Linked DNA regions of Canis lupus familiaris. The protein of the gene in region 1 interacts with the protein of each later gene in a biochemical or structural test. Links are inferred from orthologs where the notes say so. Each region holds a gene or a part of one and is shown in the gene's direction. Other genes may lie near its edges.

What was found. The genes of interacting proteins can lie anywhere in the genome.
Region 2: the proteins of PARD3 (region 1) and junctional adhesion molecule B form a complex in vitro, tested with the Homo sapiens proteins (2 studies listed by BioGRID and IntAct, with this or other methods). The link is inferred for Canis lupus familiaris from reciprocal best matches to the Homo sapiens genes PARD3 and JAM2.
Region 3: the proteins of PARD3 (region 1) and JAM3 form a complex in vitro, tested with the Homo sapiens proteins (2 studies listed by BioGRID and IntAct, with this or other methods). The link is inferred for Canis lupus familiaris from reciprocal best matches to the Homo sapiens genes PARD3 and JAM3.

What each region holds. Positions count from the first base shown.
Region 1 is NC_049223.1:2,362,047-2,367,270, forward strand, and holds the start of PARD3 (partitioning defective 3 homolog), read left to right. Parts: upstream 1-1,800; 5' UTR 1,801-1,846; coding exon 1,847-1,966; intron 1,967-5,224. UniProt on the Homo sapiens protein: Adapter protein involved in asymmetrical cell division and cell polarization processes. Seems to play a central role in the formation of epithelial tight junctions. Targets the phosphatase PTEN to cell junctions.
Region 2 is NC_049252.1:21,727,127-21,731,897, forward strand, and holds part of junctional adhesion molecule B, read left to right. Parts: intron 1-1,195; coding exon 1,196-1,303; intron 1,304-4,049; coding exon 4,050-4,202; intron 4,203-4,771. UniProt on the Homo sapiens protein: Junctional adhesion protein that mediates heterotypic cell-cell interactions with its cognate receptor JAM3 to regulate different cellular processes. Plays a role in homing and mobilization of hematopoietic stem and progenitor cells within the bone marrow.
Region 3 is NC_049226.1:1,112,111-1,116,881, reverse strand, and holds part of JAM3 (junctional adhesion molecule C), read left to right. Parts: intron 1-368; coding exon 369-521; intron 522-1,006; coding exon 1,007-1,209; intron 1,210-2,111; coding exon 2,112-2,211; intron 2,212-3,846; coding exon 3,847-3,976; intron 3,977-4,070; coding exon 4,071-4,125; intron 4,126-4,428; coding exon 4,429-4,464; 3' UTR 4,465-4,771. UniProt on the Homo sapiens protein: Junctional adhesion protein that mediates heterotypic cell-cell interactions with its cognate receptor JAM2 to regulate different cellular processes. Plays a role in homing and mobilization of hematopoietic stem and progenitor cells within the bone marrow.

The sequences.
Region 1 (5,224 bases):
ATTCTGGAAAGCAGATGATATGTTTCCTTATTTTAAAATGGGAGGTGGAATGGATGGAGAGATGATCACCTGCTCTTCCTGCTGTAAATGCTGAAGTTCTGCTTGAGCTCAAGGAGCTGTAATTGCTTTCACATAACTTAGGAACAACTGGAAAACATGAAGTTATTACCGTTTAGGACAGACATGGACAAACGACTGTCTGCTGGCATTGGCCATTCTTTAAACACAGGGACATACAGTTATTAAGGAATCATGGCTCATAACTGAGACAGAGACCAGCGCTAGTTACTTTTCTTGACTCGGTCCACTTTCTTCTAAAATGTTTCATGTCCCCCGTGCATGTAACTCATTATGGAGCTGCTCTCTCTTCCTGAGATTTAGGTGGGGATCCCGTTGCACAGCTTCCCCCAAGGCATTCTGAGCATATCGTTCATGAAGTGGTGTTAGGATTGCTCCTGTTGCAGAATTTTGAGAAATAGAATTACCTGAATTGCGGGTGTTAGAATTCTAGGCGTTGAAGTGGGAGGCTCATCAGGGGGTCGGTCATAGGAAACTTCAAGGTACATAGTGTGGCCTCTGGAGAAAGGCCAGGTCGAGTCAGAGCCTCCTGAAGCTCTCCCCAGAGCAGATGCTCTTAATTTTTGCTTTTAACACACAACCAGCCTACGCCGGCCTTGCAGCCCAGCAAGCAGCGAGCCAGTGCAGAACCCTGGGCCCGGGTGTGTGTGTGTGTGTGTGTGTGTGTGCGCGCGCGCACGGCGGCGGCGGGAGGGGAAGCCTCCGCTGGACAACCTGGCCAGCCCCATCCGTCCTCCTGGGGCTCCGTGGGGACGGCTCCTCTCCGAGCGTCTCTGTGCCTTCAGTCCGCGGCGCCACGAGTAAAGTGTTTTCTCCAGGAACGATTTCTCGCGAACCCTCAGCAGGAGAGAAGGGATCAAAAGTGACAAAGGAAGGGGGTGGGCTCTGGAGAGACCCCGGGTGTCGGGGTGGGGGTGTGGAGCGGCGCCCCGAGGAGGGCTCCACCGCACCAGCACAGCCGCGCCGCGCCGCGCCGGGGCGCTCCAGGGGGCCGGGGCCGGGGCCGGGGCCGGGGCCGGGGCCGGGGCCAGGGGTGCGGGCGGGGCCGGGGCCGGGGCCGGGGCCGGGGGTGCGGGCGGGGCCGGGGAGGGCCGCGGTGCCTCGGGCGGGGGTCGGCGGGGCGGGGGAGGGGCGGCCCGGAGGGAGGCCGCGTGCCGGGCGGGTCCCAGCGGTCGGGGCCCCGCGGCCGCCCGCGCCCGGGGTAGGGGGGGGGCGGGGAGGGGAGGGGAGGGGGCGGGGGCGGGGGCGTGGGCCGCGGGCGTGGGCCGCGGGCGTGCGCTCCGCCCCGCGCCTCCCCTGCCGCATGTGCGCGGTGTTGTGTGCCGGGCCCCGCTCCGCCCCGCCCCGCTCCGCCCCGCCCCGCTCCTCCCCGCCCCGCCCCGCCCCTCGCTGCTGTCCCCTCCCCCCTGCCCCCGCGGCCCGAGGAGCCAGAGCGAGGAGCGAGGAGCGAGGAGCGAGGAGCGAGGAGCGCGAGCGCCACACCGCCTCGGGCCGCCGCCGCCGAGCGCGCCGAGACGCCGAACAGGTGGCCGGAGGCTGCGGGCGCCGCGGCGGGGAGAGGCGAGGCGGGCCCCGGGCCGGGGAGGGCGGCCGGGCCGGGCCGGGCCGGGCCGGGCCGGGCATGCGAGCCGAGGCCCCTCGCCGCCGCTAGCCCGCGCCCGGGTCTGTCTCCCGCGCCCCGGCCCCGCCGCGCCCCTGCGCCCAGCGCGGGCAGCTCCGCCGCGGTCAGGGGGGCGAGGGCCGCGGCGGCGGCGGCGGCGGCGGCGGCATGAAAGTGACCGTGTGCTTCGGGCGGACCCGGGTGGTCGTGCCGTGCGGGGACGGGCACATGAAAGTTTTCAGCCTCATCCAGCAAGCGGTGACCCGCTACCGGAAGGCCATCGCCAAGGTGAGGGGCCGGGGGCGCGCGGGCCGGGGCGGGGGCGGGCGGAGGCGGGAGGGGACGGGGTCGGGGACGGGGACGGGGACGGGGAGGAGGAGGGAGGGGGAAGCGCCGGGATCAATATGGCGCTTCCTGGAAAAGGGAGGAGGGAGACGGAGGGGAGGCGGGGAAAGGGAAAGTGCGGCGGCCGGCCGGGCCTCGCGGGCGCCCCCCGCCCCGGGCCGCGGGAGGCCGAGTGGTGGGCCCGGGCCGGGCGGGGGCGGGGGCAGCCGGGCCCGAGCGCGCAGGACCCCGCGGCCCCTCTCGGGCGGCCCTCCCCTCCGCCCCCCTCCGCCCCCCTCCGCCCCCCTCCGCCCCCCTCCGCTCCCGGGGCTCCGGCCGTGCAGCCCAGCCGGGACCCGCTCTCCCCCGGGCCGCGCTGCGGGCGCTGGAAATCCAGCCTCAGGCCTCTCCCCGCCCCGGGCCCCGCGCCCCGCGCCCCGCGGCAGAGGCTGCGGACCGGGAACTTTTGAGGTTGGAGGAGAGTTTGTTGGGCGCACGGCGGGGAGCGGCCGCGTCCGCGCTCGGCACCGCCCGGGGGGGGGGGGGGCCGGGGCCGCCAGCTGCTGCCTCCAGGTCGCCGCGGCAGCGCGGGCAGCCGGTGGGGGCCGTGGCCGGCCGCGGTCGCGGAGGAAGCCCCGGGAGGGACACCCGCCCGCGCGGCCCGTGCACGCTGCCAGGCGCGGAGTCGCGGTGCTGGAGACGCCCCGGGCGGGCCCCGTGAAGGCAGCCCCCGAGGCCAGTCGCCGGCTCGAAGGTCTCTCCGCGGGGGACCCCCGCGCCCGCCTGCCCGGGCCGGCTCCCCGCGGTGCGGGGCTGCGGCGAGGGCCTGAGGCCGCGGGGAGGCCCCCTCTTCCCCGTGGACGGGTAACACTGTCTCCACTTAACTACATTCTTCTACAATGTGTCACGAGTGAAAAGACATTTTGTTGAATTGCTTTACCGGCCCTCGTGTTTGGCGACGGCCGAGCCCCTGAGTTCTGTCGAGCACCCGGGGACGTTTCCTGGGCTCGGGAGCAACGTCGGGCCGAAAGCATGTTCGCTTCACGCGCTTCCCACTTGCGAGGTGGCCTGGCTCGCCGGGGCTTGGAGAGGCGGTGACGCTGACGGCACGGGACGGGACGGCACTTTGCAGGCCTGAGTGCACACAGGGCGCGGCCTCCCGTGCCGTCTGAAATTAAGGCAGAAATACATTTTACACGGTTTGGTTTTTAGTATATATCGGGAAGAATAGCGGAAATACGGCCTTTTGAGGATAATCTGGGGGGTCTTTTAGCAACCTGACATGAAGATGAAAGATGTTGACTCTATGTAACAGCTCTAAAATGTTCCTTGCACTTGGTTTAACTTATCGAAAACCAAATAAAATTAGTGGAAGTTGGACACCCGTTTATCTTGCACTGCTGGCAACGGGAAGCATATTCTCTAAACCTACGTTTTGCATTTTAAAAGATTGTTTATGAATGGCAGTTTATGATCTGAATGTTCTAAATCAATGATCAGGTTGCATATATACTTTGGAAACCAAAATAAGTTGTGAAAGGAAAGAAAGATACAATAATATGTCCTAAGCACTGTGCCTGTGTTCCTACACAGAGAGGACATTTCCTTTCATTTTACTAATTTTACATGCATAAAGTGAGTTGTTCCATTATGCACACCGTGGATATTGGTCGAAATACCAATATAGTTTGATGGAGTCGTTCGTTCCTTCCACAGAATTTTTTTTTTTTAAAGATTTTATTTATTCATGAGAGAGAGACAGAGAGAGGCAGAGACACAAGCAGAGGGAGGAACATGCAGGGAGCCCGATGTAGGACTGGATCCTGGGACTTCGTGATCACACCCTGAGCCAAAGGCAGACGCTCAACTGCTGAGCCACCCAGGTGTCCCTTCCACGGAAATTCTTAAGCGTTTACTATATTCAAGGCACTGTTCTGGGTGCTGGACATCTAGGGGGCCCACTGGCTGCTTTGTGGAAGTTGGAGTGTAAGAGTCTAGGCTCTGTGGTCATTCAAGGGAAGGAGACGGTGGTGTGGACTGTCATGCTGTGGTGCACTGAGAAGAGAATGGATCTGGGATATTGGGTAAATGTAACTGAGGAGTCTCCGTGATAGATCGATCTGGACCTTGTTTTTAAATGTTAGTGATAGTTTTCCTAGGGACCCAGGAACATGGAGAAGGCAGTGCAGTTTTCTTAAGAGAGTCTGGAAAGGCATCCCAGAGCACACGAGCTGAGTTTTTAGAGGGTTTGAGATGGAACACCAGGTGGAGAAGGAAGGAAGAGTGATTCTCAGAGGATGATGGTAGCATTGGAGTGGGATACAAATGAGTGGGAGGAGTTAGAGATGAGTCAGGGTGTTCTAAAATTATTTAAAGCCTCTTTCAGTGAAGTTCACAGTTCAGTGGGTGAATTTTAAGATGGGCTTTGTAGTACACAAGGGTTAATCATTGGATCACAAGACTGTTGACTCTCAGATGTTGCAAGAGCTTGAGTGACTTCCAGGTTCATTTGTGTCTTTTCTTCTTAAGTTGTTAGGTAATGGTTGAGACTAAATTTTCGTCTTTCTTCTCACTTCTCCCACCTTATTTAAGGTGATTGTGAAGCAAACACATATTAACACTTGCTTCAACTCTTAATGTCTCTTCTTTACCTCTTACTGTTTAATAGGACAAGATACATTTTGTATGAAGAACCTGGGTAGCCTGCTAGCTGTAGAGTGGTATTTAAGTTGCTAGGTGACATGTGGCATGACAAACTGTCATCTGGCGGGGAAAAATGTAGAAAGATCATGTTTATGGCTTTGTATAAAAATTAACTAAGTTTCCCCCAAAAGGAAAAAAGGAAAAGGGAAACAAGTCACTAAGCTTTCTCTGCAACATGTATTTTGTAGTGTGGTGGGCTATTATATTTGACATTATATTTCAGCTATTTTCAGGTTAAACAAATCAATTTTTCTGGACAGTGGAGTGGTGTGACTTAATACCGGAAATGTCTTCAATAAGCAGATATTTAAAGGCTTACACTTAGTCATAGCGTTTTTTTTTTTTTTCCCCCTCCAGTGAAAAAATGTTTTTCTGCTTATGATCACCGATGGGTGAAAATGTTTTGGCTGTTCCATCTCCATCCACACATCCTCATCTAGACCCTGTCTAAGGCGAGTGTTCTGCTAGATACTGATAATTATGTTGCAGGAACTATTCTCGAGGACTTAGAATTGGAGG
Region 2 (4,771 bases), on another chromosome or scaffold:
ATACTTGTACAGGCTCTTTTTCCATATCTATGTGTATATTAATAAAATCTGGGGTAATATGAGTATTGCTCTCTAATCGACCATATCATGTAGTATCCTGAATTGTCTTTTAAAATGACATCAAATCTGCTACATCAAAATCAGATGTATGGAAAAGATTTGAACATAATTTCTTTCTAGTCAAAGATATGTACTTTTGGGGTCAAACTATATGCGTTATGGGGGGAAAAACCTCAGAGATATGAAGGTAACGCTCTAGAGAGCCTGACTGAAACATACTTTTAAAAATATTTACAACTGGAGGTTTCCTTTGGCAACTCAGAGCAGTTGGCTGATAGGCACTGGACTTTCTCCTGCCCCCCCCCCCAGTCATCTTGTTTGGACAGTTAATAGAGGGGGGTTCCTTTGGAGGTTCCAGGAATTCTTTAATGATGTAAGTGCAGTAAATTTCCTGTAATAAAGTGACCTAAATGAGCTACAGTGAGGCAGTTAAACTGGATGCCAAGATTAAATCTTCTCATAATTTATCTGGATAGAGATAAGGAGTAGGAATCCATGATTTAATAGATTATATTGGGGTTGTAGCAACATACCCATAGAGAGGATCATCCAAGAATGGGTCTGAGTGGGAACATCGCATGTTGGTAGAATGTTTGTGGATCCCATGGGCTGGACTGAGTGCTTTTCTTAGGCACTGGATGTGAAGCAGCCTCTGTTTACCTCCATGGCGCTCATGGCCCTTATCACAATGGAACAAAATTACTTTATCTTAATTGCCTCTTCCACCAGGCTATAAACTCCCTGATGACTGAGACTGGGAATAGTGGGATAAATGATAAATAATTGATCATAACTGCCATTTTTAAATTACTTACCGTGTCCAGACATGCATGCTTTGCATGTATTACTATATTTGAAGACTCACAACTCTCTAAGATACTATCTTATTTTACAGATGATAATGAGTCTCAAGAACTAGGGTCAGTAGCATAGTGTCATGCAGTTACTATGGAGAAGAGCTATAATGCTTTCAGTTCATCTTTGGGTTAAGCCAACGTGGTGCCCATTGAGGTAATTTATGGATGGATGGATGGAAGTATAAAGGAGTAGCTTATGGCTGTTTAAAAATTTACTTAAGTAAAATATAAATTCATAGGGACCATTAGAAAACAAGTTTTTTTGTTGTTGTTCCCAGAGGTTATTTTAGCCTGCAAATACCCAAAGAAGACCATCTCCTCCAGATTAGAGTGGAAGAAACTGGGCCGGAGTGTCTCCTTTGTCTACTACCAACAGGCTCTTCAAGGTAAGAAGCTATAGACTTGATGAGGTGAGAGCAAGAGAACACCAAGTACAGCCTGGGTTCTTTAACTTACCAATGGGAACAGGGAAGGGCTAATTACTGAGAATGTGGGGTTTTTAATCATTTTATTTTGTTTTATTTTATGTTATGTTATTTTCATCATGATAAGTGTACTCTTAATCCCTGTCCCCTATTTCCCCCATTCCCCTACACACCTTCCCTCTGGTAACTATCAGTTTGCTCTCTATCTATACTTAAGAGTCTATTTCCTGGGTTGTTGTTTTGTGTGTGTGTGTGTGTGTGTGTGTGTGTGTGTGTCTTTCCCCTTTGCTTACTGTTTTGTTTCTTAAATTCCACATATGAGTGAGACCATATGGTATTTGTCTTTCTCTGACTGACTTATTTCACTTAGCATACTACCTTCTTGTTCTAGCCATGTTGTTGCAAATACCAAGATTTCATTCTTTTTATAGCTGAGCCATATTCCATTTTTATATATATCTACCACATCTTCTTTAGCCATTCATCTATCAGTGGACACTGGCCTGCTCCCATAATTTGGCTGTTGTAAATAATGGTGCAATAAAGATAGGGGTGCATATATCTCTTTGAATTCGTGTTTTTGTGTCTTTTGAGCAAATACCCAGTGTGATTCCTGGATCATAGGCTAGTTCTGTTTTTAATTTTTTCCCACCAACAGTGCACAAGGGTTCCTTTGTCTCTTTATCCTCACCAACACCTGTTATTTCTTGTGTTTTTGTTGTTAGCCATTCTGACAGATGTGAGGTGATACCTCATTGTGGTTTTGTTTTGCATTTCCCTGATGATGAGTGATGTTGAACATCTTTTCATGTGTCTGTTAGCCATCTGTATGTCTTCTTTGGAGAAATGTCTATTCATGTCTTCTGCCCATTTTTAATTGGATTACTTGTTTTTTGGGTTTTCAGTTCTTTATGTATTTTAAATCCTAACCCTTTATTAGATATATCAGTTGAAAATATCTTCTTCCATTCCATATGTTGCCTTTTAACATTGTTGACTATTTCATTCACTATGCAGAAACTTTTTACTTTGATATAGTCACAATGGTTTATTTTTGCTTTTTTCCCCCTTTCCTCAGAGACCTATCTAGAAACTGTTTGCTACAGCCAATGTCAGAGAGCACAGGTTTTCTCTTTGAGGATTTTTATGGTCTTGGATCTCATATTAAGGTCTTTAATCTATTTTGAGTTTATTTTTATGTATGGTGAAAGAGAATGTGTTTTGTAAGTGTAAGATGAACCCAACAATGACTGAGACCTAAAGCATAATCACCATGAAAACGGGACAGAGAACAGAAGAAAGTTGAACACCATGGAGGCCCTAGACCCTTCGTGTCTCAACTCAGTCCTAAAGGATATAAAATGCAGTGGTTCTTGCTGACCCAGTAGATTAGACTCTTGAGAGAAAGGAAGATGAGATGGTGTGGAAGTGAGATGTTCTGTGGTAATAATGTTACCCTATTTCCATATCACCATCTAGGAAGGTAGGCCATAGCTAAGAGCTCTACAGAGTTAAGACTTAGACTTCTGGTTGGGGAAGGGTAAACACAACTATCTTTAACCAGTGCTTTATTTTTAATTCTTTATTTTTTATCCATTTCTTTCCACTTGCTGTTTTCCTGTTGAATATATACTGAGCTTTTAAAGTATTGATAATAATGGATAAAATGCTATGATGTATGGGACTTACCTCAAAATAATTCAGTGTTTAGAGGTACAGATGGAATAAGATAGACCATGCATGGGTTACTGTTATTGCTGGGTGATGAGTTTTATTTTACAATACTCCGTAATTTTTTGTGTGCTTGAAATTTTCCATTATAAACATTTTAAAAGTTGGAAATATAACAAGTATAGGAAGCATGTTATTATTTTAGAATACTATGCATTACTTTAATTTTAAAAGAATTAAGTATGTGAACAGATGTTTAAAGTCCATAAAGAATTTAAAATACCCATCTTGTTTTCATCTGTCAGGATAGGACTGCTGCAGGCCACAGGGCTGTCTTTGCTTGAATTTTCTACCATTGCCAATCTAGCACCTGAATGTTTTACAAAACACTATTTTCATTCTGTACATGTTACTACCAAACACTAATCAAAAGAGTGTTTTTAAGACCCATTCACCTTTTCTTTTGGGGCAGTATGATGTGGGCCACCACACATAAAGTTACTGTTCCAGCTAAATTAACTAGATGCTGCAGTGCCTTCTGAAGGTGTGAATGTTTATATAAGCTTATTAGAAAGGGGATGAGGCAAGAATGAGGATTGAATCTTCTAAAATATGAGAATATTGAACCCAATGTTCTTTTGTGAACTGTTATTCTAAAAAAAAAAAAAAAAAAGAAGAAGAAATTTGAAATAGCATCGGCATATAACTTTTTGAGTTTTTTATTTAAATTCAATTAGCCAACATATAATAGGTCATTAGTTTCAGACGTAGACTTTCAGTAATTCATCAGTTGCTACAGTACCCAGTGCTCATCACATCACGTGCCTTCCTTAATGCCCATCACCCAGTTACCCCATGCCCCCATCCAGCAACCCTCAGTTTGTTTCCTATACTTAAGAGTCCTTTTTGAGTTTTAAATTGAGTTCATTAATAGGGAAACAAATGCCTTGGTCACTGAATGAAGTGACTAGAGGAAGGTAGTATATAGAAAGTTATTTGCATTATTATTAACATTATTGTTTTCTTTTTCTAAAAGGTGATTTTAAAGATCGAGCCGAGATGATAGACTTCAGTATACGGATCAAAAACGTTACAAGAAATGATGCTGGGAAATACCGCTGTGAAGTTAGTGCCCCATCTGAGCAAGGCCAAAACCTGGAAGAAGATACGGTCACTCTAGAAGTGCTAGGTGTGATGTGCTTGTAGCTGTAGGATTACTGTTCTCCACCCTCATCCCCATCACCTAGGCCACCTGGGGCCCTGGTTAGGAAAGTTCTAGAAATCACCAACACCACCTTTCCTGTAAAATCTTGGCTATTGCCCCTTTTCACCTCATTCGCTGCCAAAATTTTACTCTTAGAAATTTGTTGTGACAAAAATCTCTTTTCATTTCAGGTTAAGGTAAATCTTAATGGCCCTATCTTCTACACAGGAGTTTTTCCCCTAACAGTTTATTTTTCAGTACCTTTCAGTATACAGGGTCTATCTCTTACATATAAAATCCAATCACACGAGATGACGGAAAAGCCTTAAAACAAAAAAGTAGGTCAGGGAAAGTATTAGAAATTATTTGGTAAAAAAGAAAAGAAAGGGAAAGAAAATGAAAGAACAAAGAAAAGAAAAAAGAAAAGAAATTGGGTAAAGAAGGGAAATTAGGATTTATTGTGCAGCTAGTATATGTTAGGCTCTTACACATACATAATTTTACTTAATCTTCACTGACAGCTTCATTTCTATAGATGAGAAAATAGAAGCTAA
Region 3 (4,771 bases), on another chromosome or scaffold:
GTGAAGTAGGAGTCCAGCCTCATTCTTTTGCATGTGGAGATCCAGTTATCCCAGCACCATTTATGAATATTGGTTGTTTTTTAATGTAGCTTGATTTTTTTTCTCTTTTAATGGGAAATCCTGGCTGGGAATGCTGAGAAGAAAATTAGGTCCCTGCTTTAACAACAGAGACCCATGTAACGAGTCCTCTTACACGCCAGGCACAGCGCCCTCAGCTCCCCTCTCTTGGACAGGAGCGGACCCAGAAGCTGGTGTGCCGTCTACTCATTGAGGCGTTAAGAAGCAGCGCTAGCCCCGGAAGCCGCCTTCTTCAGATGGCAAAGATGTTTTTAAACACTGTTTTTGTGTCTGTATCCTCTTTTCTGTAGGAGATTTGGCAGGTCGTGCAGAACTATTGGGGAAGACCTCCCTCAGGATCTGGAACGTGACCCGGACAGATTCAGCCCTTTATCGCTGTGAGGTGGTTGCTCGAAACGACCGCAAAGAAATTGATGAGATTGTCATTGAGTTAACTGTACAAGGTAGGAACTCACATGAAGTTAACACACTCCCCCTCTCAGGCCTCATGAGTCTGTCCATAAAAAAGATTGGAAGGGGAAATATAAATAAGAATTAAAATAAAAGATCAGCTCTTACTCGTTCCCTCTAGAGCTACATCCCTCGGGGCATCACGGGACTTAGGCAATGGGCGGTTGTGGGCGCTGAAACCGCCTGAGCTGGGGTGCAAGGTGAGAAGGTAAGGGGAGCTCCAGCTACTCCCCTCACCAGTTGTAGAAGGCACTCCTCAGGGGGGTGGAGGCGTCAGAAACGTGCTGTGGGGTTATCTGTGGGGGGGTGAGCTGGGGGCAGATGCGGAGGCAGATCTGAGCCTGTGGTTGTGACATGGGGATGGCAGTGGGGCATCGCCTGGCTGGCTCTCCTGGTTTTGGAACAGATTAATTGTGGGCTTTGAGAAGAATCCTTCTACGTCACTGACTTGAAACCCCAACCCGTATTCCTCCCACAGTGAAGCCAGTATCTCCTGTGTGCAGAGTCCCGAAGGCTGTCCCTGTGGGCAAGACGGCCACGCTGCACTGCCAGGAGAGTGAGGGCTACCCCCGGCCCCACTACAGCTGGTACCGCAATGATGTGCCGCTGCCCACAGATTCCAGAGCCAATCCCAGATTTCGAAACTCCTCTTTTCTTTTAAACTCTGAAACAGGCACTCTGGTAAGATCTCTTCTCAGAGGTGAGGCTAGAAACATCTTTGTTGGGGAAGGGGTACCTCGTGTGGAAAGAGCACTGATTAAGAGACACAATGAGCTTTGTAAGACAGGAGCCAAAACCCCATACTGTTGGAGAGTCTGGGAAAAATGAACCTCTCTTCCTCTTTATAAGCAAATAAGCGCTCAGGGAATAAATAGAGGAAAGGAAACTTGTAGAATAAAGGGGATTGTGGAGGTGTATGAAATCAATGTAATGGGTTGGTGACGTCAGGGTCCTGATGTGAATAACCACCTAGAGAAATCAAGAGACCGGGCAGTTGGGTTCCATCTGAAGAAGTCCTTATGTTTTAGAGATGCCTGCTGGAGAATTTATGGGGAAAACATGTCTAGAATGGTCTTCAAAGTAACCCAGTGGAGGGAAGCCAGTGAGGGGAGAGGTGAAGTAAGATGGGTCGTGTGTGGAGGACAGGCTGCCCCCTCCGCAGCCTCTCCCTGGGCTCCACTGCAGCCAGGCCTCCCGATCCGTGGTGTATCTAACCGCACTCGTGGCGAGCTGGTTTGGATGGCATCCTCTGTACTGGTATCGCCCAGGCGTTGCTGAGGGATAATCCTCTACCAGAGCCCCTTTCCCTGAAGCAAGGCAAAACTCAGCCTGCATCCTGGATGTTGCCAGGCCTCGAGATCTCCAAACCCTGAGCAGATCTCACTCTTCAGGAGCTCCTGGGCGAGACTTTGGGAAAGGAATCGGGGGAGAGCCGGGACGGTGACTAGGAAGCTGAACAGGAACCCAGACAACTGAGCAGACCTCTTGCTCCGTTCTGGACTTAGCCCGTTGGTCAGGCTCTTCCCTTCAGCCCAGGGGGTCCACCCCGTTGCTTGGACTCATGACTGTCATTTCCGAAACAGGTTTTCAGTGCTGTTCACAAGGAGGACTCTGGGCAGTATTACTGCATCGCTTCCAATGACGCAGGCTCGGCCAGATGTGAGGAGCAGCAGATGGAAGTCTGTGAGTTACTTCGTGAAGATATTTCATCTGCAGACTGTCAAGTGGATAGAACGTTTTTAATTTAATATTAGACCATCAGTTTAGACAAGTGGTCAGCTTTCTTCTGGAGATGACTGGAGTCCCCAAAACCCACTCGGGTACATTGAAAGGACAGATGAGAAAAGTCTGAGTAACAGCTAAATGACTAATAAGTGGGTACTTGCAATATGTTTATCTCCTCAAAATAGACTTTCTGGAGTCTTCTGATGTTGGGAACATAGTTACTCATATCACTTTTAACTGAATTTAATAAACTCCATTTTGGGGTGCCTGAGTGACTCAGTCAGTTAACGGTTTGACTCCGGCCTTGATCTCAGGGGAGTGTGAGCCCCATGTTGGGCTCACGCAGCATGTGGCACCTGCTTAAATAAACTCCAATTTTTTGATAATTGATAGACTTATCAAGACATAACCTATATAAGGTCTCCAGAAATTTATTTAGTTGACCGTCATTTTGTGGTCAGCTGACACCCAGTTACCCTGTTCTGTGAGGACACCGTCTCTGGAGTCCTGGTTCTACAGGGGAGGTTGGAAGGCAGGATGGGGCGGATGGGGCATGTCACCATCATCACCACCTGGGGCACCCCTTCCTCCTTCCTGCGCATAACTGACCCCAGAGCAGTGTTTTCCAAGCTTGCCAGATTGTGAGAAGTGTTGGATTGCAAGGCACCACCCCAGGCGCTGGACTCTGTCCCCAGGGGCGGTCTGGGAACTTCTGCGTGTTAAACTGTTTCCAGGGGATTCTTGACATCTGTCAGATGCAGGAAACTGCTCCAGGGCAGGAGGAAGACTCTTGGGCTTTGCTGCACACCCACCGAATCTCTAGTGAGAGTGCTTGGGGCCGGACAGTGTAAAGTCAGAGTTTCAGTGTTTAATTGCACACTCACATTCGAAACCACCGTAGTAAGAGAAGTTCGTTGCTTAGGCGGATATATTGCTGCCTGTTTTCCACCGCATTATCCTCTCATGAAGGCAACAGCCCCAGTGCCCCACACTGATGGGGACTGAGTACCTTTGCCAAGTATGTGGAAATGGGAGGAGGGCGTCAAGGGGTTTCCTCCACGGGGCGTGTAGATAGGAGGCCAGGCAGCTGGTAGTGAAAGGTCACGTTCCCACCTCAGATTTTTACTTTTCAGTCCTGTGCGAAACTAGTTCTTTTCCTCCAGATAACGCACAGCAGAGGGAATCCCTGGAAATTAGGGATTTTTTTTCTTGGGGATTCCTGGCTCCTAATGGTCTTCATAAAATGGAACCATTTCCTCCATTAATAATATTTTCAGGGATTAGCCGGAGGACCATAAGCCTTCTATATGTGGCTAAGCCCCTTTTAATACAGGATTAAGTGTAACAGCATTTGCACTGTGGTGGTCCCAGTACTTTTTACAAGTGAGGGCAGGGATCCAGGGTCCTGTATGTTCTGGGCTGGAAAGACTGAAGTGGTGTTACTATAGCCTGGGGGAGGGGGGGGGGGCGGGGGCGCATGAGGGTGGAGCGGGGAGGAGGGAAGAGCAGGAAGGAGGGAGGCCTGGTGGGATCGGTGGCTGTGGTAAGACCGGATGGCATGTTCCTCCCCTCTCTCAACCCCTCTTCCCCCAGATGACCTGAACGTTGGCGGCATCGTTGGTGGGATCCTGGTGGTCCTTGCCGTCCTGGCCCTGATAACAGTGGGCATCTGCTGCGCATACAGACGGGGTTACTTTGTCAATAATAAACAGAATGGCGAAAGGTGAGCCTGTCCTCTGTGCTGGGTGACGAAGCCCAGTGTACACGGGCGTCCCGCGAAGTCATAGTCATTGAAGCCCTTTCTCCTCCTTTTTCAGTTACAAGAGTCCAGGGAAGCCAGATGGCGTGAACTATATCAGGACAGATGAGGAGGTAAGGAGAGGAATGAGGCAACAGAGCAGACGTCATTTAGGAAACCTAGAGATCGAGGTCTTTCCAGCAGAGCAGGTGATGGCTGTCCTTGGACAGTTTGTCCACACTTCTGGCGTTCGGTGCGCAGGTTCTCGTAGGTGTCCCTCTTGAAGAATGGTTTCATTTGATCTATTTTGCTCTAAGTTTTTTTTTTAGGGAAATGGCTCAGGCCCGACGTCCACGCTCCCTCTCCCCTCCCCCTCGGGGCCCTGGGCTGCCAGAGGGTGGGCGGCCGGCCGTGTCTAACCTGTGCTGCCATTGCAGGGCGACTTCAGACACAAGTCATCATTTGTCATCTGACTGTGACGGTGTGGCTGGGGGAGCACATGCAAATACCTCTACCAGAACCTCCTGGCAAGAGCGGCCTGGGAGCCAAGTGCACCCGGACAGAGCTAGACACTTGCGCAAAAGCTTTTTGTTTTGGCCAAAGTTGACCGCTACTCCTTTCTTACTTTTTTAACAAGCCACATGAATAAAAAAATTTTCCTCGAGATGGGCACGGTCATCACAAGGAAAAAACTGCATTTCCCTGAGGCTGACTCCCCGTCTGTTTCTGGCCTGGCTCTTACCTGCGTGTTCGGGTGATTGGGAAGCTCTCGCTCACAGG